Linked DNA regions of Diceros bicornis minor. The protein of the gene in region 3 binds, or shares a complex with, the protein of the main gene of each other region. Links are inferred from orthologs where the notes say so. Each region holds a gene or a part of one and is shown on either strand. Other genes may lie near its edges.

The links.
Region 1: RBM10 (region 3) and MYSM1 share a complex: the UniProt entries of both Homo sapiens proteins name them as parts of the large chromatin remodeling complex. The link is inferred for Diceros bicornis minor from reciprocal best matches to the Homo sapiens genes RBM10 and MYSM1.
Region 2: RBM10 (region 3) and KIF11 share a complex: the UniProt entries of both Homo sapiens proteins name them as parts of the large chromatin remodeling complex. The link is inferred for Diceros bicornis minor from reciprocal best matches to the Homo sapiens genes RBM10 and KIF11.

What each region holds. Positions count from the first base shown.
Region 1 is NC_080752.1:20,399,536-20,407,518, forward strand, and holds the start of MYSM1 (deubiquitinase MYSM1), read right to left. Parts: upstream 3,097-7,983; coding exon 3,014-3,096; intron 2,818-3,013; exon of another isoform or gene 2,324-2,817; coding exon of another isoform or gene 2,307-2,323; intron 1-2,306. UniProt on the Homo sapiens protein: Metalloprotease with deubiquitinase activity that plays important regulator roles in hematopoietic stem cell function, blood cell production and immune response.
Region 2 is NC_080745.1:58,334,290-58,341,965, forward strand, and holds the start of KIF11 (kinesin-like protein KIF11), read left to right. Parts: upstream 1-4,676; 5' UTR 4,677-4,947; coding exon 4,948-5,024; intron 5,025-7,676. UniProt on the Homo sapiens protein: Motor protein required for establishing a bipolar spindle and thus contributing to chromosome congression during mitosis. Required in non-mitotic cells for transport of secretory proteins from the Golgi complex to the cell surface.
Region 3 is NC_080781.1:40,956,103-40,963,954, reverse strand, and holds the start of RBM10 (RNA-binding protein 10), read right to left. Parts: upstream 3,047-7,852; 5' UTR 3,032-3,046; coding exon 2,767-3,031; coding exon of another isoform or gene 2,736-2,766; intron 854-2,735; coding exon 712-853; intron 1-711. Other genes in the region: NDUFB11 (NADH dehydrogenase [ubiquinone] 1 beta subcomplex subunit 11, mitochondrial), read left to right, coding at 3,592-3,798, 5,356-5,486, 5,657-5,783. UniProt on the Homo sapiens protein: Binds to ssRNA containing the consensus sequence 5'-AGGUAA-3'. May be involved in post-transcriptional processing, most probably in mRNA splicing. Binds to RNA homopolymers, with a preference for poly(G) and poly(U) and little for poly(A).

The DNA.
Region 1 (7,983 bases), on a different chromosome or scaffold from region 3:
CATTCCCCTAACGGCCCAAGACAGAAAGCTCAGTCTGCCCTATTTCCTCACATTGCACATTCAGTCTGTTGCCAATTCTGTTGCTTCTCAAACCTTTTTCAAATCAGTCCTTCCACCGTATCCACACTACCTCTGAGGTCCTGCAGTTTCAGACCTTATCATTTTCCTGGGTAAGTGTACATGAGATAAAGCTCACAAGCCATCCACCTTCTCTCTTCTATCTTTTTCTACTTATCTCCATCTGGCATACATAAAAAGTTCTATGAGAGCCAGGACTCAGTTTTGACAACTGTTACATACCCAGGGCTTGGTATATAAAAGGTGCTTAATCAATATTCGTTGAATGAACAACTGAATGACGTAGGTGGGGCATGGATCATACAGGTCTCTAAAAGTTAAGGAATGAAGATTTTATCATAAAGCCAAGTGGGGATTAAAGGGAATAACATGATCAGATCTGGATGTAAGAAAGACTGCTCTAACTTCAGGAAAGAACCGAAGGGGGCTTAAGAGACAAGGAGCAGTTAAGAGGGAGTGATCTCATAAATACCAGAGAGAGGTGACAGTAACAGACCTAGCGAACAGACAGTGTGACTAGGAAGTGAATACATTTGAGAGGATACTTAGAATCAACAGACCCTTAATAAGTGATAGGCTAGAAGGAGTGGAAGAAGAGAGTAAAGAAAAGGGATAAAGTCTAGGTCTGTGCCTTGGGCGAGTGGGTGGATGGTGCCATTCATTCAACTAGGGAACTTGGAGAGGCAGGTTTGGTGGGGAAAGTTCATAAGCTGAGATTGAAGTGCCTGTGGAACATCCAAGGGCAGACAGATTTCAGAGAAGTGGATAAACGGATCTGAACCTCAGGAGAAAATTTGGGTTGGTGACAGATTTGGCAAACATCAGCATGTTATTAGGTGGAACTTAGAAAACTGCCATTTTTGTAGGTCAAAAATTGGCAAAATTTCATATGGTCCAACCTAAGAGATAGAAATTTAAGTCTTCTGGATGACCTCACCAGGGACTGTGTGGTTAGTGAGAAGTCTTATGATAAAACCCCTAGAAACACTATGATTTAAAGGACAAGCAGAAGAAAAGGAGGACAAGAAGGAATGGTAAAAGCAGAAGGGAAACCAAGAAGTGTCAATGCCATCTTCTAACTCTGGTACCGAGCACTTAGCAAGTACTTAAAAGTGTGTTTTCAATTAATCTTCAAGGGTTCCACAGATGTTATCATCAGCTGTAACTACACACTGCAGGGTGCATCATTCACACTAAATTCCGTATGATCAGAGCCCCAACACCAGGGAGCACCATTCACCAGAATATAATGTTATTGGTGCCCCTCGGAGTTGTGTAAAGCAATGGCTCTGACCATCAGGAACCAATAACCTTTGTTTTCCTGCTTGCATGAGACTAGGGAGGTCACAGGTGCCACCAGTAGACCTAAGGCTCAATCAAGACAGCAAGAGAAAGGAAAGAAAAAGAGGAAAGGGAGAAAAATTAAACACAATCAGAAGAATAAAGAAGAACCCGTGGAAAAAGGGTAGAGCCAATGCTCTCAGATGATCTTTAGTGTTTCCAAGCCCAACTCATTTCTCTAGAAGCATCCTTGCCCACTCATCTCATAGCCCTGTTGTGACAAGTAAATTAAATCATGCATGCAAAGCCCCTGGTCAAGATTAACTCCTCTACACAAATGTGAACGATGACTGTTATTAAAGGCTTCTACTCATCTGTATGACTTTGGACTGCTTTGCCTCAAGATTTGGGGGAGAACGACTATATGAATTTAATTACTCCTCACATTTTTATAGTGCTTTAGAGCTCAGGAGAACTTGAAACCCACTATCTTAGTCCCTCCTGGGCAGGGTTAGTGCTCTTCTCCCACAATTTACAGAGGCCCTAATATTAGGTGGGACCATATGAAACTGACATTTTATAGGTCAAAAATGGTCTAAGATTGGCAATTTCACATGGTTCAACCTAACAGACTTCTAATGAAGTTGTTCATAGTTACAAGCAACAGCTGACGGAGTTTAGAACTGAGGTCTTCTTATTCCTGACCAGTCTAGGCCTCTTCCATTACTAAAAGGAGACTCTGGAAGCACATTTCAAAATGGTATCAATTTCTTACTCGAAAGGCAAGCAACGGGCTAGATCTCTCAAGCTGGAGGTTACAGTGTAAAACCACATTGGCCTGCTCTGCAGGAATAGCTATTAAATACACTGTGACCCCTCAATGAGTCCTCACAATACCATCTCTGAGGGTAACGGGATGGTAAGGAACACACTGACGGAGCACCTACCGTATGCTAAGGCACATCCCATAATTATTTCATTGGATCCTCACAGTAACAGTCTGAAGTACGTATCTTGATTGTCAGTGTACACATGAGCTGTCTGAGGCTCAGACCAGTTAAACGTCTGGCCCAAGGTCACACTGCTGGTTACCGGCAGGGCCAGCCAATGCAGGAGAAGCCAGAGCCGTCCAACTCTAAAGCCCGCCCCCTCTCCTTGAAGTCGAGCTGCCTCCCAGGAAGTTTTTCACAACTATCCCCATGTGGAAGAGGAAAGCTGTGCCAGGAGGGATGAAACGACACGCCCAAGGTCACACGGCTTGCAGGCGACGGCACAAGGATCCCCGGGCTCAGGCCCAGTCCAGAAGCCGCCCTCGTTCTAGTTACTGTCGGAGGGGGCGAGGGGGCGAATGCTGGGGTGGAGGTAACGGAAAAAGGAATCTAATCGCTGGATGGGGCGCACAGCCGGGCCAGGTCGGCGCCCTCACACATCCAGCGAAAGGTGAAGGAGCCCTCCGGCACCAGCCCGGTCCCGCCGCCGGGCTCAGGAGCGGCCGGCAGGCGGATGGGCGCGGCGCTCCCCGGCCGCCGGAGACCCCGGCCCAGGGGACGGTCTCCCGCTCCCCCGTCCCCGGCCGGGCCCGAGGCCCTCCCAGGATACTCTAATCGCTTCCCCGCCCTCCCCGTCCCTGAGAGACCCGGTCTCTACGCCTCACCCGGGCTGTGCCGCCGCCGGCACCACGTCCCCTTCAACATCCACATCCGCCTCTTCAGCCGCCATGATGGGACCTGACCGCATCCGGCATCCCGAGAGATCCCGCGAGAGGCGGAGGGCCTAGGGGCGGGGCCGACGCGTCACGGGGCGGAGTCGCAGCCTCGTCCAGCCCCTCCCGTGGCGGGGAGGCGGGGCTTCCAGAGAAAAGCAGCCCGCTGCAGCCCAGGCGCGGTCTTTCTGACTTTAGTGACGCGCGAAGACCTTGGGAAGTGGCTTAGGCTTGGGCTTTGAAGAGACCATGCGCTTGCACAAATTCTCTGGCGCCTCACTTCTTTCATTTGTAAGATGGGGATAATAGTAGATATCTTTCTGGAGTGCAGGAAAGGGCACGCCAGACCTGCTTTGAACCGTAAGGTGGCAACAATGAAGGACCCTTACCTGCTTCTTTTCTTTTTTTTTTTAAGAAAAGGATCGTTCGGCACTTATGTGAAGCGGTGAACAACTTTTATTTTAAAATTAAGCAAACATTTAAGAATATAATTTATGATTGCATGTTTTATTTTGTGGAAATCTTTATAATTAACGAAAAAATTACTTTCGTCTCGTCACCATTGATCTTTGCAATAACCCAGTGAGGTAGGCAGGACTGGTGTCATCAGTCACACAGATGAGGAAACTGAGGCTCAGAAAGCTGAAATGACTATGAGAGGATACACAGCTATTCAAAGACAGGGCTGGGACCACAATCCAGCTCTCTTGACTCTTTACTGAGTGCTCACCCTCTACAAATCGTGTTGTTAGGAACTATGACAGATAAACACCATGTTTCTCAAAGAATTTATGGCCCCTCAAGAAATTAGATATTGGCCTTATGTATTCTTCTACCTTAGTATCTATCACTCACATTATTGTAACTGTTCATTCGCTTGTCTGCCTCCACCACTGGACTGTGAATTCTCTCAAGACAAAGGCTGTATCTGCTAGTCTTTATACTACCAACATTCAGCATGGTGTCTGATACATAGTAGGTGCTCAATAAATATCAAACTGATGAACGAATGAACCAATAAATCAATGAAATGAGTTCACTTCCCACACTATTCTGGATTTGTCCCATCTCACCTTTGCTTGTGCTCAGGGCATAAGATGAGCTGTACTGTGAATGTGATGGCAGAAGGTAGGTAGAAAGATTTGTAAAGAGGGAGATCCAGTGCTCAGAAACTGGATAGTGCCCTAGCCTTAGGCCACCGTGGGAATGCTGTTCCTGTTGTCAAATGGCTTATCCAATGATCAGTCCCAATGGTAACTGGCATACCTGGCACAGAGTAGGCATTCTAAGATGTTTGATGAATTTAATTTAGAGCAAGGTTAGAAAGATGTACATGGCCAGATAGTCAAAAGAAATGTCAAATACACATGCTTTTAATTGATCTTTACGTAGCAGGCTGAGATGGGAACCCTAGCAGGACAATCTGGATACACATGATATCAAATGTCTCCTAGACCATAAAACAGAATACCATGTGAACAGCATCTCCTGCAATGCAGCACTGGAGGTCTTCTGGCCCAGTGCCAGACATCAATAGGCATTAAAATATATGTGGAAGAAAGGAAAGGCCTGCACAGAATTCAAGTATACCCCCAAGGTCTTTAGATGAAGAGGCCTCCCTAAACAGGGAGACTAGTCTGAAGCCTTCCCATACATACCCCACACCATGCTCCTGGTTAGTTAGCTTTGTGTGAAATAGGTTCATAAGTGTCTAAGCCCAACTCCACCTGCCAGGATAGGGCTATAACCTCACAGTCAGGTGAACTCTTGACTGAGGCCTGGCTACTATTTAAAATTCTCTTTTCTAGAGGTCTGCAACTCTGTGACTTGTTTAAAGACCCATTTTCTCACCAAGTAGTTTGAAAGCAGGATGAAGAATTCAGAATTCATATTTCACAAATACTTTTTGTACTCCTACTGTGCTTGATACTGGGGAAATGGCATTGAACAAGATGGACTCAGTCTCTGCTCTCGTAAAGTCTATCAAACATGCAATTTCAAGATGATATAATAAGTTCTATGATGGAGGAGTTACAGGCTGCTGGGGGGGTCACAGAGGACGGACACTTATCTCAGAATCAACCCTTTGCTGTACCACATTTTTGAGGAGGTTATTGATCAGTCAAAATTTGAGAGTAATGTTCTAGACTCGGGAATGCAAGATAGAAGACTCTGTTCCTAACTTAGAGAAAGAACAAATGGAAAAAGATTAGCAGGAATAGTGCCTGGTACTTATACAGAGCTAGGAATAGTGCCTATTCCCACTGACCAGACTGGAAAACCTCATGATTCGTGAAGCACTGGGTAGATAACTCGGAATAGTATTGCCTAAGTCATGGAGAATAATAAGCTCTGGGTGGAGCACTGCTCTGGTACTGCCTAACAAATCTTCAAGACAAGATCTGAAAGGATCAAACTGTTTCCAGGTAAATGTAACTGTGCCCTCCCTCCCCAAAAAATCTCAAGAATATTTGTAGGAATACAAAAATTCCCAGCACCCAACAGAACAAATTTCAAAATATCTGGCATCCAATTACCAGGCATGCAAAGAAGTAGGAAAATATGACCCATAATAAGGAAAAAAAGTCAATCAATTGAAACCCATCCAGTACTGACACAGATGTTAGAATTAGCATACTAAGACATTAAAACAGTTATTTTAACTATATTCCATATGTTCAGAAAGTAGAGACATGGAAAATACAAAAAGGAATGAAATTGAATTTCTAGAGATAAAAACTACAATGCCTGAGAAGAAAAATATACTGGATGAGACTAGTGGCAAAGTAGACATTGCAAAGGAAAGTATTGGTGAACCTGAGCACATAATAAAAGAACTATCTAAAATGAAACACACTAAGAAATAAAAAGGTTAAGAAGTGTACAGAAAATCAGTGAGGACAACTTCAAGCCTCCTAATATATGCGTAATGGGAGTCTCTGAAAAGTGAAGGGTGGGAGGTCAGGAAAAATATTAGAAGAAATAATGATTGAAAATTTTTCCAAATTTGAAGAAAACTGTAAACTTACAGATCCAAGAAACTCAAGGAACCCCGGGCAGAAGAAACATAAGGAAAACTACACCAAACCACACTGTAATCAAATTGCTCAAAACCAGTGATAAAGAGGAAAACTTTCCAGAGAATAAAGGCATGTTACCTACAGTGGGAAGATAAGAATGACAACAAACTTATTGTTGGAAACACTGGAGGTAAGAAGATGGTGAGTCAATATCTTTAAATTACTGAAAGGAAAAAAGTCAGACAACTTAGAGAACTGTACACCTACCAAAATATCTTTCAAAAATGAAGGCAAAGTTAAGCCTTTCTAAGACACAAAATCTGAAAGAACTCGTCATCCTATCTTTACAACAAGAAATGTTAAAGGACATCCTTCAGGCAGAAAGAAATGATAGATGAAAATCCTGATCTGCATAAAAGGAGGAAGAATGCAGGGAATAGAAACTACAGTCACATGCCACATAACAACGTTTCAGTCAAGGATGGACTGCATATACGACGGTGGTTGCATAAGATGAGTACCATATAGGCCGGGTGTGCAGTAGGCTATAGGATCTAGGTTTGTGTAAGTACACTCTGTGATGTGTGCACAAGAACGAAATCACCTAATGGAGCATTTCTTAGAACGTATCCCCCTCGTTAAGCAATGCATGACTGTACATGGTAAATATATAAGATTTTTTCTTAGAGTTTAAATCTCTTTAAAAGAGAGTTGACTGTTTAAACAAAAATAATAACAATGTAGTGTGAGATTTATAACATATGTATAATTAAAGTATATGACAACAATAATATAAAGTCTGATGAGAAATGCAAGTATATTATGTAAGGTTATTATATGAAGTGGTATAATATCACTTGAATATGTTATCACTGTGATATACTACAGATGTATTGTATAAACCCTAAAGTAATCACTACAATAACAAAACAAAGTTGGCTTGAAATGTGGACAAACAAAAAAACAAAATAAAATCTTCTCTCATTTATGCCTTATGTTTCCTATGGGCACTAAGCTAATTATTGAGAATTCCCTTCTCTCCACATCCTCTCCAGCACTTGTTGTTTTTGTCTTGATAATTATAGCCATTCTGACGAGAGTGAGGTGATATCTCATTGTAGATTTGATTTGCATTTCCCTGATAGTTAATGATGTTGAACATCTTTTCGTGTGCCTGTTGGCCATCTGTATATCTTCTTTGGGGAAATATCTGTTCAGGTCTTTTGCCCTGTTGAGGTGTATGAGTTCTTTATATATTTTGGAGATTAATCCCTTATCAGATATATGATTTGCAAATATCTTCTCCCAAATGTTGGGTTGTCTTTTCATTTTATTGATGGTTTCCTTTGCTGTGCAGAAGCTTTTTAGTTTGATATAGTCCTATTTGTTTATTTTTTCTATTGTTTCCCTTGCCTGGTCATACATGGTGCTTGAAAATATTTTGCTAAGACTGATGTTGAAGAGCATAGTCCCTATGTTTTCTTCTAGAAGTTTCATGGTTTCAGGTCTTACATTCAAGTCTTTAATCCATTTTGAGTTAATTTTTGTGTATGGTGTAAGATAATGGTCTACTTTCATTATTTGGCATGTGGCTGACCAGTTTTCCCAACACCATTTATTGAAGAGACTTTCCTTTCTCCATTGTATGTTCTTGGCTCCCTTGTTGAAAATTAGCTGTCCATAGATGTGTGGGTTTATTTCTGGGCTCTCGATTCTGTTCCATTGATCTGTGTGTCTGTTTTTGTGCCAGTACCATGCTGTTTTGATTACTATAGCTTTGTAGTACATTTTGAAATCAGAGAGTGTGATACCTCCAGCTTTGTTCTTTTTTCTCAGGATTCCTTTGGCTATTTGGGGTCTTTTGTTTTTCCATATAAGTTTTAGGATTCTTTGTTCTATTTC
Region 2 (7,676 bases), on a different chromosome or scaffold from region 3:
AATTGGTGGAAAATTTTACTGAGAGTCTACTGGGAGCTTTAGGAATAATTAGGAAAAGTGTGAGGAAAACTAATCAAACAAAACTGGGCAGTTATTAACCTGGGATAGACAAAAAGTAAGAAAGGAAACATAATCTCACTAGACTGAAATGCTCAGCTGTGAATAGGCATAATAACCTAAATACAGATTTTTGATTTAACAAAAATTGTATTATTGAGTGCATGGGGAAAGTAAAGCAGAGGGGATGGTAAAGTTTGAGAACTAAATCCTCATCTTTCGTAACAGGAAGTGAATAAATAAAGTTTAAAATTGATTAATCAAAGAGTAGCAGTATATACAAATTCCTTACAAAAATGGAAATGAGTAAATCCTAGAAAAAAAGCTAAAATGAATTGAAAGTAATTGTTTCTGGAGTGGAGGTCTGGAGGGTTTGGGACAGAATGAGGCAGGGAAATATCGGGGTTTTTTTTTTCCCATGATGGATTTATTTTATTTTTAGAAATGGATATGGTACACTTCCTTGTAATTTGCTTTTTTTTTTTTTTACTTTTTAAAAATTTTTTTGAGGTCATAATGGTTTATAATGTTGTGAACTTTCAGGTGTACATTATTATTTATCAGTTTCTGTATAGACTGCATCATGCTCACCACCAATAGTCTAATTTTTAGCTGTCACCATATATATGTGCCCTTTTGCCCACCCTCCAACCCCCTTCCTCTCGGGTAACCACTAATCTGTTCTCTTTGTTCATGTCTTTATCTTCCACACATGAGTGAAATCATGCGGTGTTTGTCTTTCTCTGTCTGGCTTATTTCGCTTAACATAATACCCTCAAGTTCCATCCATGTTGTTGCCAAGGGGACGATTTTGTCTTTTTTATGGCTGAGTAGTATTCCATTGTGTATGTATATGTATATATATATATATACATATATATATGTTGTTGTCTTTTCATTTTGCTCCTGGTTTCCTTTGCCTTGCAGAAGCTCTTTAGTCTGATGTAGTCCCATTTGTTTATTTTTTCTTTTGTTTCCCTTGCCTGAGTAGACATGGTATTTGAAAAGACGCTGGTAAGACCAATGTCAAAGAGTGTACTGCTTCTATTTTCTTCCAGGAGTTTTATGGTTTCACATCTTACCTTCAAGTCTTTAATCCATTTTGAATTAGTTTTTGTGTATGGTATAAGATAATGGTCTACTTTTATTCTTTTGCCTGTCGCTGTCCAGTTTTCCCAGCACCATTTATTGAAGAGACTTTCCTTTTTCCATTGTATCTTCTTGGCTCCTTTGTTGAAGATTAGCTGTCCATAGATGTGTGGTTTTATTTCTGGGCTTTCAATTCTGTTCCATTGATCTGTGTGTCTGTTTTTGTACCACTACCATGCTGTTTTGATTACTAGAGCTTTGTAGTACATTAGGAAATATCTTTTTTGTTGTTGTTATAAGCCCTTTACAACTATTTAACTTTTAAAATGATGTCCATGTTTTACTATTAGAAAAATAAAAATTAATTAAAAATAATTTATACGAGAAATACACACACTCTTGAAAGAGAAATGTCAGATCAAGCACATGGTCAACGATGTTGCATTGGTAGAATCCAGGTTAACTATTCTGAGAGTATTAAAAATAATTTCTAATCATGGGCAGACTTTCAAGAGAGAAGTGTTGATTAGCTTGAGTAGTTTGAGCTCTACAGGGGCGGTATAAAATAACATATCAGAGATAGCCACCTGCCTGGTGTAACAAAACTCTTACAAATGTCCGTAAGACCCTGGCCATCTCCACTAGACTTAGTCTTGAGGGCAGGAACTATAATTCACCCTATCTCTTCACTGCCTGGCCCATAGTAAGCACTCAATAAGGGTATGATGAAGTGGGTGCCGAAGCACTGAGCACATGAAAAAATTGGGTGAGGGGGATAGCAATTAACAACCTGGGATTTAGAATCAGCAAGATTCTGAGTTCCTTCTCTGTCACTTATTAGCTGTATGACTATAGACAGTATACTTATTTTGCCTGTCTATTGAGAAAATTGTGGGAAGAGAGAGTTGTTCTGAAGATTAAATGAGAGGATGTCCACAAAGCTTTTCATTGAGTCTGACACATGGTAGTCTTAGGTAAATGGTAGCTATAACTCTTATGAAATGGAGACTCCTGAATTTCTTGCATCAACCCAAATGATTGTTAATGTAAATACTATTTAGATATTTACTAACGAGAAGGAAAAGAAGAAGAAATTAGCATTTTTTGGCCTGCTATTTGCCAGGTACTTTATACACATTATTATTTTAATCCTTACAATAATAGTAATCATTGTTATCTCCATTTTACAAATAAGGAAACCAAGGTTGAGAGAGGTTAAGGAATTTCCTTCAGGTACTCTTATATTTATTTAGTGACTACTTTGTGTAAAGCTCTGTTCAAGACACTGGGAAAAAACATTGAGTAAGACAATCATAGTCGCTGATGAAACTTACATGCTGACAAGATAGACTACACTGACAATGTAATTACCGATTTTAGTAAGTGTTATGAAGGAAATAAACAGGGTCTTGAGACAGAAAATTATAGGAGCAATATGCTTTATGGGGTGGTCAGGAAAGCCCTTTTTAAAGAGAAAGTTGAGCTGAGATCTTAAGGATGAAAATGGGTAAGCCATGCAAAGAGCCAGACTGGATTTCTAGGCAGAGGGTATAGCACATACAAAGGCCTGGCTGCAGGAAAGAGCTTAGAAGCTCTGGATCATGGTAGTGAGCTATGTGGATAGCGGCTGGAGTTGATGTTGGTACGTACCTATAGGCAAAGGCCAGAACATGGGGGCCTTACAGGACATGGCAAAGAGTTTGAGTTTTATTCTAAGTACAATGAGAAGCTATTGTAAGGTTAAAAGTAGATGAAGGGCATGATCTCTTTCGTTTTTAAAAGATCCTTCCCTTTGATGAGTGAACGCAGTGAGGAAAGAAGAAAAGAGCAGAAGCAGAGAGACTGGTTAAGGAGGTTGTTAAGGACAGTTGTTCAAGGAAGAGATAAAAGAGAGTGGGACTAGAGTGGTGGGCAGAGGTGATAAAACCAGCAGGACTGCACTGGACACGGAGGACAGAGGAATCAAAGGTCTGGTTAGCGCCAAGTGTCTACAGGAGAAAGATTAGCATTCAGGTAAGGGGGATAAACAGTTCCATTTTGTTTGTTTTTTTGTGTGTGTGAGGAAGATCAGCCCTGAGCTTCCATGCTAATCCTCCTCTTTTTGCTGAGGAAGACAGGCTCTGAGCTAAAACATCTATTGCCAATCCTCCTCCTTTTTTTCCCCCCCCAAAGCCCCAGTAGATAGTTGTGTGTCATAGCTGCACATCCTTCTAGTTGCTGTATGTGGGACGCCGCCTCAGCATGGCCAGACAAGCGGTGCGTGGGTGCCCGCCCGGGATAGGAACCCTGGGCCGCCAGCAGCGGAGCCGCGCATTTAACCGCTAAGCCACCAGCCGGCCCCAACAGTTCCATTTTGGATAGGTCCATCTTGAGATGCTGGTGAGCCATCTAAGAGGCGATATCAGTAGACATCCTGCTATGCAGAATGGAGATGACCAGCAAATCTGAGCTGTAGATGTAGATGTTTCCTAGGGGCAAGGTAGGAGGTTAGTAAGTGGAGGAACACTAAGGGGGCCTGAGAGCTTTCCATTTGTCTGTTACTTAAAGAACTAAAATGATATCTAGGTTCCTGTGGGCTAAGTGTAGCCCAGAAGCGCAGCTCTCTGAGCAGACTACGGAATAGGCCCCTGATGTAGCATTTCCTGGACAGGCGACCCACACCCAAAGCAGCGGAGTCATCCGGCATACTGCCAAGACGCCCACAGTAAACCTACGGAAGCCGCAGGTCACTAAGTGCAGGCGCGACGCAGGGAGCGCTGCCTGCTGGGATTTGTAGGCCGACGGCGGCGGGCGTTTGCGCTACCTCCTTGAGACGCCTGCTGGATGCTGCGCTATGCAGATGGACGGCAGCGCGCTCTGAGCCTGCATCAGTCATTGCAGAACTGTTGTCCGAAAACGAAAATCTGATCTGGCTTTCTTGCTTGGAATCGTTTAGCGATGAGGAGCTCTCATCAGTTAAAGGATAAATTCAGTCTTAAAAATGACAATGTCCCTTTCATCACGATTTGGTACCCGTGGTAGCCTTATCTCTTAACACTTCCTAATCATTCTTCAAGACTATTGTGAACGCTGCCTCCGAGAAAGGGGCTCGCTTTTGACTTCTCTCCTCTGCTCCCATAGCACTCACTTACAACTCTAAAAATAATCATAATCATGACCAGCCTTCCTGAGCACTTACTACATGGTCTAGTCTAAGCTATTTACCCGCATTAGCTCATTAATTCTCACACAACCCTCTGAGACGTTTGCTATTACTTCCATCTTGCAGATGAGGAAATTTTATTTAGAGACGTTATGTAATTTGAGCAGGAACACGTTGAGGTCTCACAGTGTTTACTGCTGCATTCTCTCCCACGGGACTATGAGGTCCAGGCAGGCACCACCAGACCAGCATTTTACTCTCCCGCTGGCCACGCCCTGAGGGCGGGGCACCGGTGAGGACACTGCGTCCCATGGTGCCTTGCGCGCCCGCGCTGCAATTGGCCCGGCGAGTCGGCTCCTTGTTCAAATTAAGGCGCCGAGTCGTTGCTCGGTTTCTCGGGCTTCGGGCGGAGACGAGATTGGTGGTTCGAAGAAGAGATTGGTGACTCGGAGGCTCCGGCTGGTGCGAGACAGACGCCACGGCCAGTCAGAGCCCCGGGTAGAGAGCCGGGACGCCGAGCTCCCTGCGTCGGCTCCCCCGGCCACGCCACCACTCGCAGGGGAGGTGGGCATCCCGGCCCGCGCCGGCCGCCGAGCCCCTCCTCGCCATACCGCGCCCGAGTCCGCGGCCAGGCCTTGATTTTTTTGGCGGGGACCGTCATGGCGTCCCAGCCGAATTCGTCCGCGAAGAAGAAAGAGGAGAAGGGGAAGAACATTCAGGTGGTGGTGAGATGCAGGTAGGGCGAGCCTTGCAGGGTTCCGAGGGCCGGGCTTTGCTGCTGGGTTCCCTCTTGCGCGGTCCGAAGAGAGGGAGTTTGTTTGCAGTGTCTGAGGGTCCAAACCTTCCTGTTTCATACTTCTCCGCGTTCTCTTCGATAAAATGGCATCAGGTTGCTGTAAGGAGTAAATTAGTGTCTTTTTCAGAAGAAAAGATATTTGTATTGAAGGTCACAGTTTAAACTGCTATTCAGAAGGAGAATTTGATCGTCCTTCTTGAGTGACAAGTGCGTTGTTTTTTTAACTAATGTCAAAGATTTAGGTGTCACTTTTCTATGCTACTCCTTGCAGTTTGTCATTTTGGAAATAAGACTGCATGCCTACTTTGTAGATGTTTTAGCACTTATGTTGGGATTACTGTCCTCTCCATCATCTGTAAAAGCGTATTCAGTCACCTGTTCTCTTTATTCTAGATGTAGTATTTTCTTTATCGCTACTAAACATGTAAACATCACTGTATTTAAATTTTAAATATTAAGTTATAGAGTGAGTTTATGTTTTTAAAAGATCACGGAGACAACTTAAGCCAGTATAGTTATCTGATTGTGCTACAACTTAATATTAGACTAAAGGAGACAGCTTTTTCTGGGTGGGTGGGTGGAGGTGTTCAACTCTCCCCTGATTGATTTCCAAATAACTTCCCAATTTTGAAATGGGCTAGTAGAGGAAGAACATACTTGTTGTACAAGCTATTACTTAATTAGAGATTGACTTACTCAGCTTTTTAGAGGCCCTCCAGTTTACTGGTGTGTGTTTTGTGTCTATTTTTGTTACTGTTGTTTAAAAAACTCTACCAACTATCAGCAACTTTTCTGTAAAACTAAAAGTATTCTAAAATTAAAAGGTTATTTTAAAAATGTATCAACAAACTTTCTTAGGTTATTGCTAACTCAGATTCTGTGACTTGAATTGTAGGTAATAGCTAGCTTTCTAAACTAGGTACCAGAGAGGAAATTTGGTGGTAACCTTAAATCTAGCCAATTACCAGTTGCACTCAAGGGCTTCTGTTAATAGTTGCTTGTTTTGAAGATTTTAAAAAAATCAACAGCCCATATTACAAATGCAAATTTTTAGATTACTTTGATCGTTTAATAAAGCCAGGCAGTATTACCTTTCCGTGTGGTTTTATTTTCTTTAATTTCTTTTTTGTTATTAATTACAAAATATATCAGACCTATAAAAAGTAATCAAGAACGATGTAACAAACATCTGTGTATCCATCTCTCAGATTAGAAACAAAAAAGTCGTGACAGCTGGAGGCCCACTGTATTCCTCCCCATCCCTCTTCCACCTCCAAGAGTTAAACATTATCCTGAACTTCATGTTTATTATCCCCATACATTTCAAGCCTTGCTTTAGAAGAGATTTCTTTTACTTCATCTAACTTTAATAGAAAGCGCTTAGGTTGTGTCTAATATTTACAATAATTTTAGTATAAAGAGGTTTTTTTCCTTTTAAGGTTAGCCTTTTCTTTTTCAAATAGCCTTCCCAGTGCAAATATGTTCTTAAGCTTTAGTAAATAAACAACTTGTGAGGCCCTTTGGGGTTGTCAAACCTTTTCTGTAAAGGGCCCAGATAGTAAATATTTTAGGCTTTGCAAGCCACATATGGTCTCTGTCACATATTCTTGTTTAATTTTTTTTTTTCAGTTTTAAATTTTTAATTGGCACAGTTTATTGTAGCCCAAGAGGTCAGCAAGATTTCAAGAGAGGAGAGAGAACTTCATTACTTGATTACAATGAATACAATCTTTATGATGTTCTTTACTTGTTCAATAACTGTATGAAGAGAATTTTTTATTCTGTTATACACAGCTCAAGATAAATGTATAACTTCTGGAATGGAGGAACTGATGGAATGGAGAGAGAGATTTTAATAAGGAAATATGCTTTGATATATGTATATACCAAGACACACACCTATACACACAAATACACAAAACACCCCTCCCCTTTGTATACTGTACAGGTTGGCACAAGCCCTATTAAGATAATGTAAAAGTTTCTGGATTTAAGTTATTCTTGGCATTTTGATCTAGACAGGTGCTTAGGCAATTTAGGTCTTAACGTACCTGAATCATTCGTATATTTATCTATTTTGTGAGGAAGATCAGCCCTGAGCTAACATCCATGCCAATCCTCCTCTTTTTGCTGAGGAAGACCGGCCCTGAGCTAACATCTATTGCCTATCCTCCTCCTTTTTTTTGTCCCTTTTTTTTTTTTTTCTCCCCAAAGCCCCAGTAGATAGTTGTATGTGGTAGTTGCACATCCTGCTAGTTGCTGTATGTCGGATGCCACCTCAGGATGGCCAGAGAAGCGGTGCGTGGGTGTGCACCCGGGATCCGAACCCCGGGCCGCCAGCGCTCCCTTAACCGCTAAGCCACGGGGCCAGCCCCTCATTTGTATATTTAAAAGTACATAAGTGTGTTTTTAAAAAGGCCCAGACCAACTTTCCTTAAACAATAACCCAGTATGACACCATAGTTAGCAAATGGAAAACAGAATTGCTATTCTGTATTAAATCAGCAAAAGATATTTTAGAGAAAGGACAACTTGGAAAATAAAGACTTCAGAGTTCATTATTCGAGTTAAGAGCATTTTAGTTATTAGCAG
Region 3 (7,852 bases):
CTCTGTATTTTACCAAGTGTCCCAACTGTTTCTCATTTGTACCAGAGTTTAAAAATAACTGTACGAGAGTGTCCTTTCCAAGAGAAGTATCATACCAACTTCAGCCCACCCTGTCCCTGAAGTCTCCCGCTATCTGACCTGGCTTGCCCCACACTTGTCTTGGACAAATTCCTGACTCTGAAGGCACCAGTCCCATCTACCCCTCAAACCCAAAGCTACAGCCCACAGCTCTCCCCTGAGAATCCACGGGCACTTACAACCCCCCACCCATCTGCCCTCCACCTCTGCCTGTCCTCCTGCAGTGGCTGTCCACACCTTGGTGAATGGCACCACACACCTCTCTGGGTCAACCTAACTGGAAACCTGGGTACTAGCCTCCATTCCTCCCTTTCTCTTGATCCATTCCCACCCTCACAACCAACCACGGCACCATGGCACCCGTCAAGCTGTTTTGAACCACCTGGAAACTGTGTGGTCTCCCTTGTGAGACCCTGAGTAAGAAGGCTGCAGTCTTATCGATCTCATTCACCACTGCACTCCCAGAGCCTAGCACAGCTCCTGGCTCACAACAGATGCCAAATAAATGTCTGCTGAGAAAACACCAATCATCTGCTGTGCTGTTTCCTCTGCCTGGAAGCCCCCTCCTAGCACCTTCTTGGATCAATTCTCACATGGGGACAAGCTTGGTAGTGGTGGGAGCGGGTAACTCACCGTCTTTCATACTCCATGTCCTGATAGGGCCTGCGGGGACTGTTGGGGCCCCTCCTCAGCCGCTGGCTCCGTTTCACTTCCCAGCTGCCCCCGCTGCTGCCACCATGATCTGCCAGCCTGGGTGATGTCTCCTGCAGGGACTCTGGGGAGAATAGAAGGAAGAAAGGGGTCAAGGCAGTTGGGGCAGAGAGGGCCTCCTTGAGAAACCCTCGTTGTCAAGGCTCTCTACTGTCCTTTAGCCCAGGGATGTTGTTTTCCAACTCCTAGTGCTCCTGTGGACCAGATTGGGAAGGCAGCCCCTACTTGACCTGCTCCTTCCTTTCCCCACAAATGTGAGGCTAGAGCTCACTACCCTAGAAACAGCAAGGTCTTCAGCAGAGAGGGAACAGACTTCATGGTGCCACCCATTCTGTGACCAGGGCTTTGCTGTTTGAGACTGGTAGATGAGTTCAAGCCCGGAGCTACCTGCCCCCCGGGGGGGCTCTTGGTGCTGCATGATTTGTCCGAGATCAGGCACATTAGTCATGCAGGCAAGACTTCACAACGGGAGTCCCAGTCTCCAGGCTCCTTCCATGGGCCCTCAGGTATTTCATCCTCCCAACAAGATGCTGGCTGCCCCTTACAAGACGGTGGGAGAGCATGAAAGGCTTAGTGGGTGAAGGGGCTAACTTGGCAACAAGATAGCTGCAAGGCTTAGTGGGTGAAGGGGCTAACTTGGCAACAAGATAGCTGCTGCCTCCCTGGGCTCCTGGCCAACACAGCTTTGGCCCTCACGCGGCAACTGGCTCAGCCCTGAGCCCCGTCTCTTATGTGCAGCCAGGTCCCAAGGCGGCTCTCTCCCCGGGGCTCTAAGCCCAAGTTATTCAGAGGAAAAAGGAGTCCTTTCGGAGGCTGTTCCAAACCACTGTGCTATTCTGCTAGGATGGAAGGGCAGTCACTTCACCCAACCCTGAGGGCTGCGGTGAGAACTAGGAAGTCCTGAGAGCCACGTGACCCGCCCAGGGTCATCACGAAATATCCCAGAATCTTCAGGCCCCGCCCTCTGAACAAGAATCAGGCAAATCCAGGCAGTAACAGCACCTGCCCAACACTAGGTTGCCACCACACCTTTCCTCCATGTACAACACACACACACACACACACACACACACACACGAATTTTCTCTTCCTCCTCAAGCCACAGGGAACCAAAGTTACCTGCTCCCAGATGGGAAAAAGTTAGAATCACAACCAGGGGCCCCAGTGGATGAGAGCCAGATACAAAACCCTCAGTAGACTCCGGCAAAGGGGCCAGAGTCACACATTGCTATCCACAACAGATAGGGACCAAAGTCACATACACAGGCCCGGAATAACCGCGGCCCCAAATCACAGACAGGAACCCACAATAAATCCGGGCCATAATCATACACTGAGACCCTCTTTCAATGGATGAGTGTCAGAGTCAAAGATACAACCCCCCAAAAGAAGGGGCAGTAAGTCATACATACATTCCTTGCACTCCCTCCCCACCCAGTAGGTGGGTTAGGGCCAGTCGTAAGAAGACTCCCTATGGTTAAGGACTCCTCCCCGTGGATAAGGACCAGAGTTACAGACACAAGGATAAAGACTAGAGTCATACAGACGTTCTCCCTCCTCCCCCACCCAAGAATAAGGACCAGAGCCACAAAACACTTCCCCATGGATAGATAAGTACCAAAGTCACACAGAACAGACTGCACACCCCCTCTCCTATGGATAAAAAGCAAAGTCGCAGACACCCGCTTCCCCACGGATAAAGTTCGGTGTCGCGGCGTAAACCACAGCGGCCCACTCCCATCCGTCCCTCCCTTCCCCCAACCCGCGTGCACCCTTCCTGTGTCCCGATCGCGCACGCGCCTCTGCTCCCAAAAGGAAAAAAAAAAAAGACCCCCTCCCGGGCTCAGACTGTGCATGCATCCCTCGGTTCCACGCGTAGCCCAGGCCCGGGCCCGCAGTCCGCCCTCCCACCTCCTCTACACCCACCCCCGCCCCCGGCCCCTTACCTCCGCCCCCACGACCAGCGTCGACGCTCACCTTCTCGGCCCGGGCTGTCAAGGGAGGGCTCCCAGACATCACCTCGGCCCGCCGCCACCTCCTCCAACTCTCTCAGCTCAGCCGGAGCCGGTCCGGGCAACAGCCAAGTTCGAGGCTGGAGGCGGAAGGGCGGAGGAGGGGGGAGGGGAGAAGCGCCAAGAGCGCTACCCTCCCCGGGAAACCCACTGCCGCCAACTCCCAGCCGGCCGCGATCACCAGCACAAAATGGCGACGACGAGAAGCGAGCCGGCGCTTCGACCACCATCCACCTACTAAGGGAGCGCGCTCTGGCCGGCCTCATCTATTGGTCGCCGTCCGCCGTCGGCCAGCCCCTTCCTGCTCTGATTGGCAAGCGTCTGCCACCTCCCCACTCCCGGTGCGAACGCCCGAAGTCGAGAAAAGGAGCAGCTATTGGCCAATCCGGCAAGGCCCGCTTTTTAGAAGCTTGGCTTCCTTAGAAGATGAAAGACAAGCGGAAGCCCCGCCCCTTTCCCCAGAGGGCAAGGGAAATGTCTCTGCGATTGGCTGGGAACTGAATCCACCCAAATGTCACCGCTTTCTTCTCAGCAAGGAAATGAGCAGACCTCTCAGTCCGAAATTCCACAGCCTGACTGAGAGGATAAGAAAATGGTTGCTACCATGAAGCCATGACAGAGGGAGGGAAAGAGGGCTACTTAGCGCCTCACTCATTTGAAAACGAAATCCAGACTCGGGACATATTTAGTGCGGCCGGGGCGGAGCGACAGTTATCGCGCTCGGGCCAACTGCAGCTGCGCAGAGTTGCATTTCCGTCCCCGCCCCTGAGAGCCTGCAGAACAATCTGACATGGCGGCCGGGCTGTTGGGTTTGTGCGCTCGCCGCCTTTTGGCAGCAGCGGCGACGCGAGGGTTCCCGGCTGCCCGTGTTCGCTGGGACTCAAGCTCCTCTAGGGCTGTGATCGCCCCGTCCGCTGTGGCGGGAAAGCGGGCGCGGGAACCCACTATACGCTGGCAGGAAGACCCAGATCTCGAGGACGAAAACCTCTATGAGAAGGTGAGAGGGAGAGGAAAGGGGACGCCGGAAGGGTCAATCAGGGGCCAGCGGACGGGGAGCGGTAGAGGACGTTCTTAGGTGGCTGAGGATTGCGCAGCTGGCGAAATCCTCAAAGACTTGGGAATTTTGCCTACCTTGTTTTCCTCTTTTGTCCCCTGATAATCTTCAGTTCAGGGCCAGAGGCGAGATTGGCCTTATTTTGCAGACAGATGTCAAACTTGAAGTGGGCAGTGCTCAAAACACATTAGAAGCAATATAGCGTAACGACAATAATACTAAACATTGATATGGAGCTTGCTCAGTGCCTGTGTTCTAAACGCTTTACTTACGTTAACTTTCTAATCCTCAAAACAACCTTATTTCGAAGTAGGTGCTATTGGTATACTCATTCTACAGATGAGAAAACTGAAGCATAAAGATGTTAAGTGACTTGCCTAAGCTCACATAACTGAATGTGTGGCGGAACCAGGTCTGCTGTGCTGTATTGATAGCAGAGCCTCTGAAATCAGAAGGCCTAGGTTGGAAAACAGGCACTGACAGTTGCTCACCTATGTGACTTGGACAAGTAGCTTACCCTCTTGGTGCCTCAGTTTCTTTATAAAATGGGGAAAGTATTAGGACAGCTTCTAAAAAATAAAATATTACACCACCTCATGTAATTAAATGAGTCAAAATGCTCAGCATTGGCACTTAGTAAGTACTCAGCATTAGAAGGTGTTAATTATTGTTGCCACTTTCCACCTCACTGAGATATTGTGAAGTTTGCGTATGTGAAAGGCCTGGCACATAATAGGTATTTCATCAATACTAACTTCTGCTGGAGGAGCTTGGACGTACAGGATGCTTGTTCACTTGTTCATTCATTCCGTAAATAGTATGGAGGGCCTGTATATGCCAGGTGCAGTTCGGGGCCCTAGGGGTTCAACAGTGTGGAAATCAGATAAAGCCCTTGCTCTCATAGCTTATATTATAGTGGAGAACACAGAAAATAAACAAGTACAATATTTGGCAACAGTAACATAGAGTATGTAATTGATAATAATATAAGGTTAATATGATACAGGATCTGAGGGGATGCTTCTTTGGTAAACTAATAAATGCTAGAAAGAAAATGAAGCAGGATAAGTCCACGGAGAGTGACTTGGGGGTAGGGGGCTATTTTATTAGGTTGAACCATAGGAAATTGCCAATATTCAACCATTTTGACCTATTCAACCTATGAAAACCAGTTTCCTGTAGTTCAAATTAATAAACAATGTGACTAGGAAGGGAATGCCTCCTAAGGGAAGTGATGATGAAGCCAAGACTTTGATGGAGGCGACAGATCCAGCCATGACAAGATCTGGGGGAAAGGCTTTCCAGGCAGAGGAAACAGCATGTGCAAAGGCCCTGTGGTGGGAAGGAGCTTGACAAGTGCTAAGAATAGAAAGAGAGGAATTTAGGGAGGGAGGGGAGATTGGTCCAAGATGAAACTGGAGACCAGCTTATGCAGGGCCAGCATAAGGCTTTGTGGAGCAGCAAGAAGCCCTCATCGACTTCTTCTTCTCCTTGCCACAGAACCCAGACACCCACGGTTATGACAAGGACCCTGCTGTGGACCTCTGGAACATGCGGGTTGTCTTCTTCTTTGGCTTCTCTGTTGTCTTGGTCCTTGGGAGCACCTTTGTGGCTTATCTGCCTGACTACAGGTGCATGGGGTATCCAAGAGAGTGGGATGGGTGGGAACAGAGGCAGGGGTAGAGATCGAAGGGGACTCTGCCAGGAATCCTGTTCCTGCACCATTGGGGAATGGGGAGCTAAGATGGGGATTGGTGTCCAGTGAGGCTCCCTCACATCTGCCCCACGCTGCTGCCTCCAGGATGCAGGAGTGGGCCCGCCGGGAAGCTGAGAGGCTTGTGAAATACCGAGAAGCCAATGGCCTCCCCATCATGGAATCCAACTGCTTTGACCCCAGCAAGATCGAGCTGCCGGAGGATGAGGACTGACCGGTTGCCTAGTGGGGCTCAAGGAGCACCACCTTCTCCAGCCCCTGCCCACCATTCTGCCCTCTCCTCAGAGCACCTAATTAAAGAGATTGAAAACCTGGCTGGTGTTGATTTTGTTGTGAGGGAGATGTGGGAGTGGGAGTGTCAGGCCTTAGAAGGGCCACTGCAGCCTTTTCTGGGTCTTCTGATTATTGCTGTGCAACAAACACCCTAACACTTAGTGGCTTAAAACAACAATTTAGTATTATCTTTCATGGTCCTGTGGTTGACTGGGCTTGGCTAGGTTCTTCTTGGGGTCTTGGCTGGTTGCAGTCAGATGGTGGCTGGGGCCGGAGTTATCTGAAGGCTCCACTGGGTTGGATGTCCAAGATGGCTTCTTCACTCACTTGTCTGGCCCTTCAGTTTTCTACAGGGCCCTCTCCCCAGCAGAATAGCTTGGGCTTTTTATATGGTGGTTCAGGGCTCTTCTGGATGGGGGTGTAGCATATAGGAAGAAATTGATGACGGGGGCCAGCCCGGTGGCGTAGCGGTTAAGTTCATGTGCTCCACTTCAGCGGCCCGGGGTTCACGGGTCGGATCCCAGGTGCCGACCTGCACACTGCTCATCAAGCCACGCTGTGGCAGCATCCCATGTACAAAAGAACTAGAGGAAGACTGGCACAGATGTTAGCTCAGGGACAATCTTCTTCAAGCAAAAAGAGGAAGATAGGCAACAGATGTTAGCTCAAGGCCAATCTTCCTCACCAAAAAAAAAAATAAACAAAATTATTAATGAAAAAAAAAAAAAAGAAATAGCAGCCGTCTTTAGGGAAAAGCTACCACACTGGAACCTCCTACGTTGGCAGAAAGGCCAGAGCGCCCAGGGATTGAGGGTGGTGGGTCAGAGCAGGGCTTTCTATTGCTGAGGATGAGTGTTTGTCTCCCTCCCTGACTTCTGTTTCTCTCTGGGCTTGGAGGTTTCTGCCTCTGTGTCTTGGTGAGTCTGGATGCTCCTCTCTTTCCTTCTGCCCTAAATCTGGGTGGTCTCTAACTCAAGATGCACACCTGTGTGTGTGTGTGCGCGTGTGTGTTTCTCTCTCTGCCCCCTCCTCTCTGTCTTTCTGTGTCTTTCTCTCAAGCAGGAGGTCTCTCCCCACACACCCCCTCACTTCTCTCTGGGAATAGGCTGTTTGCTTGCATCCGGGGCTCACTCTTTAAGCCTCTCTCTCGATCTGCATCTGGATCTGGATCTGGATCTGGCAGATGGAGTAGGGACTTGGTCTGGGGCTGGCTGTCTTTTTTTTTCCAGGGAGCCTCTCTTAGATCCCTGTTAAATCCAGATGCCTGGGCTCCCCTTCATGCCCCTGGCATCTCTGCCTTCTCCCTGCTGGACCCACCAGCAGAGGTGATGCCCCTACCCCTAGCTCCTGAGTCTATTTGTATGTGACTAAGGTGGGTGCGATGTCCACATGAACCTTCCTGGAAGTGAGCGGTGTCACTCCCTGAGTGCTTCCTTGTGGGGCCAGTCTCCCAACTCAGGATAGGCCCCAAAGCAGAGAATACTAATGTGTAAAGGGAGCGCTCTCCACCCTCCAGCCTGCGGTTACTGGGACTGTGGAAGTGACAGGCATGTTGTCCCAGCCACCAAGTTCCTGAGCATATTGAGGTACTACTCCCTGTAATAAACCTCAGCCTGTTGCAGCCATGCCTCACCATTGGCCCAGAGAACACATCACCCCACCCACCCCCACCAGGATGTAAGCTCCATGAGGGCACGTATTCAGCTGTCTGTTCACTTAGAGCCGAGATTGGCACAGCATGTGCTTGCGAAACGCTGGTATTGTTACTTCTGGGGTGGGTGCCGTCCCCTACCATCAGTGCCCTTCAGGCTACGGCCCCTGAGGATGAGCACTTCCAATCCCCCAACTCTGCCCCCTCATCAAGCTCTCAGGCTCTCTAGAAACCTCCATTCTGGGCCATGCCTTGCCCCCTTTCTGAAGGCAACGATACCACCTTCCTCCTCCCTCATTGGGGCCCTGCCACACTGGCCACCGCTTCTTTTCTTAAACCACTGAATTGAAATGTACATA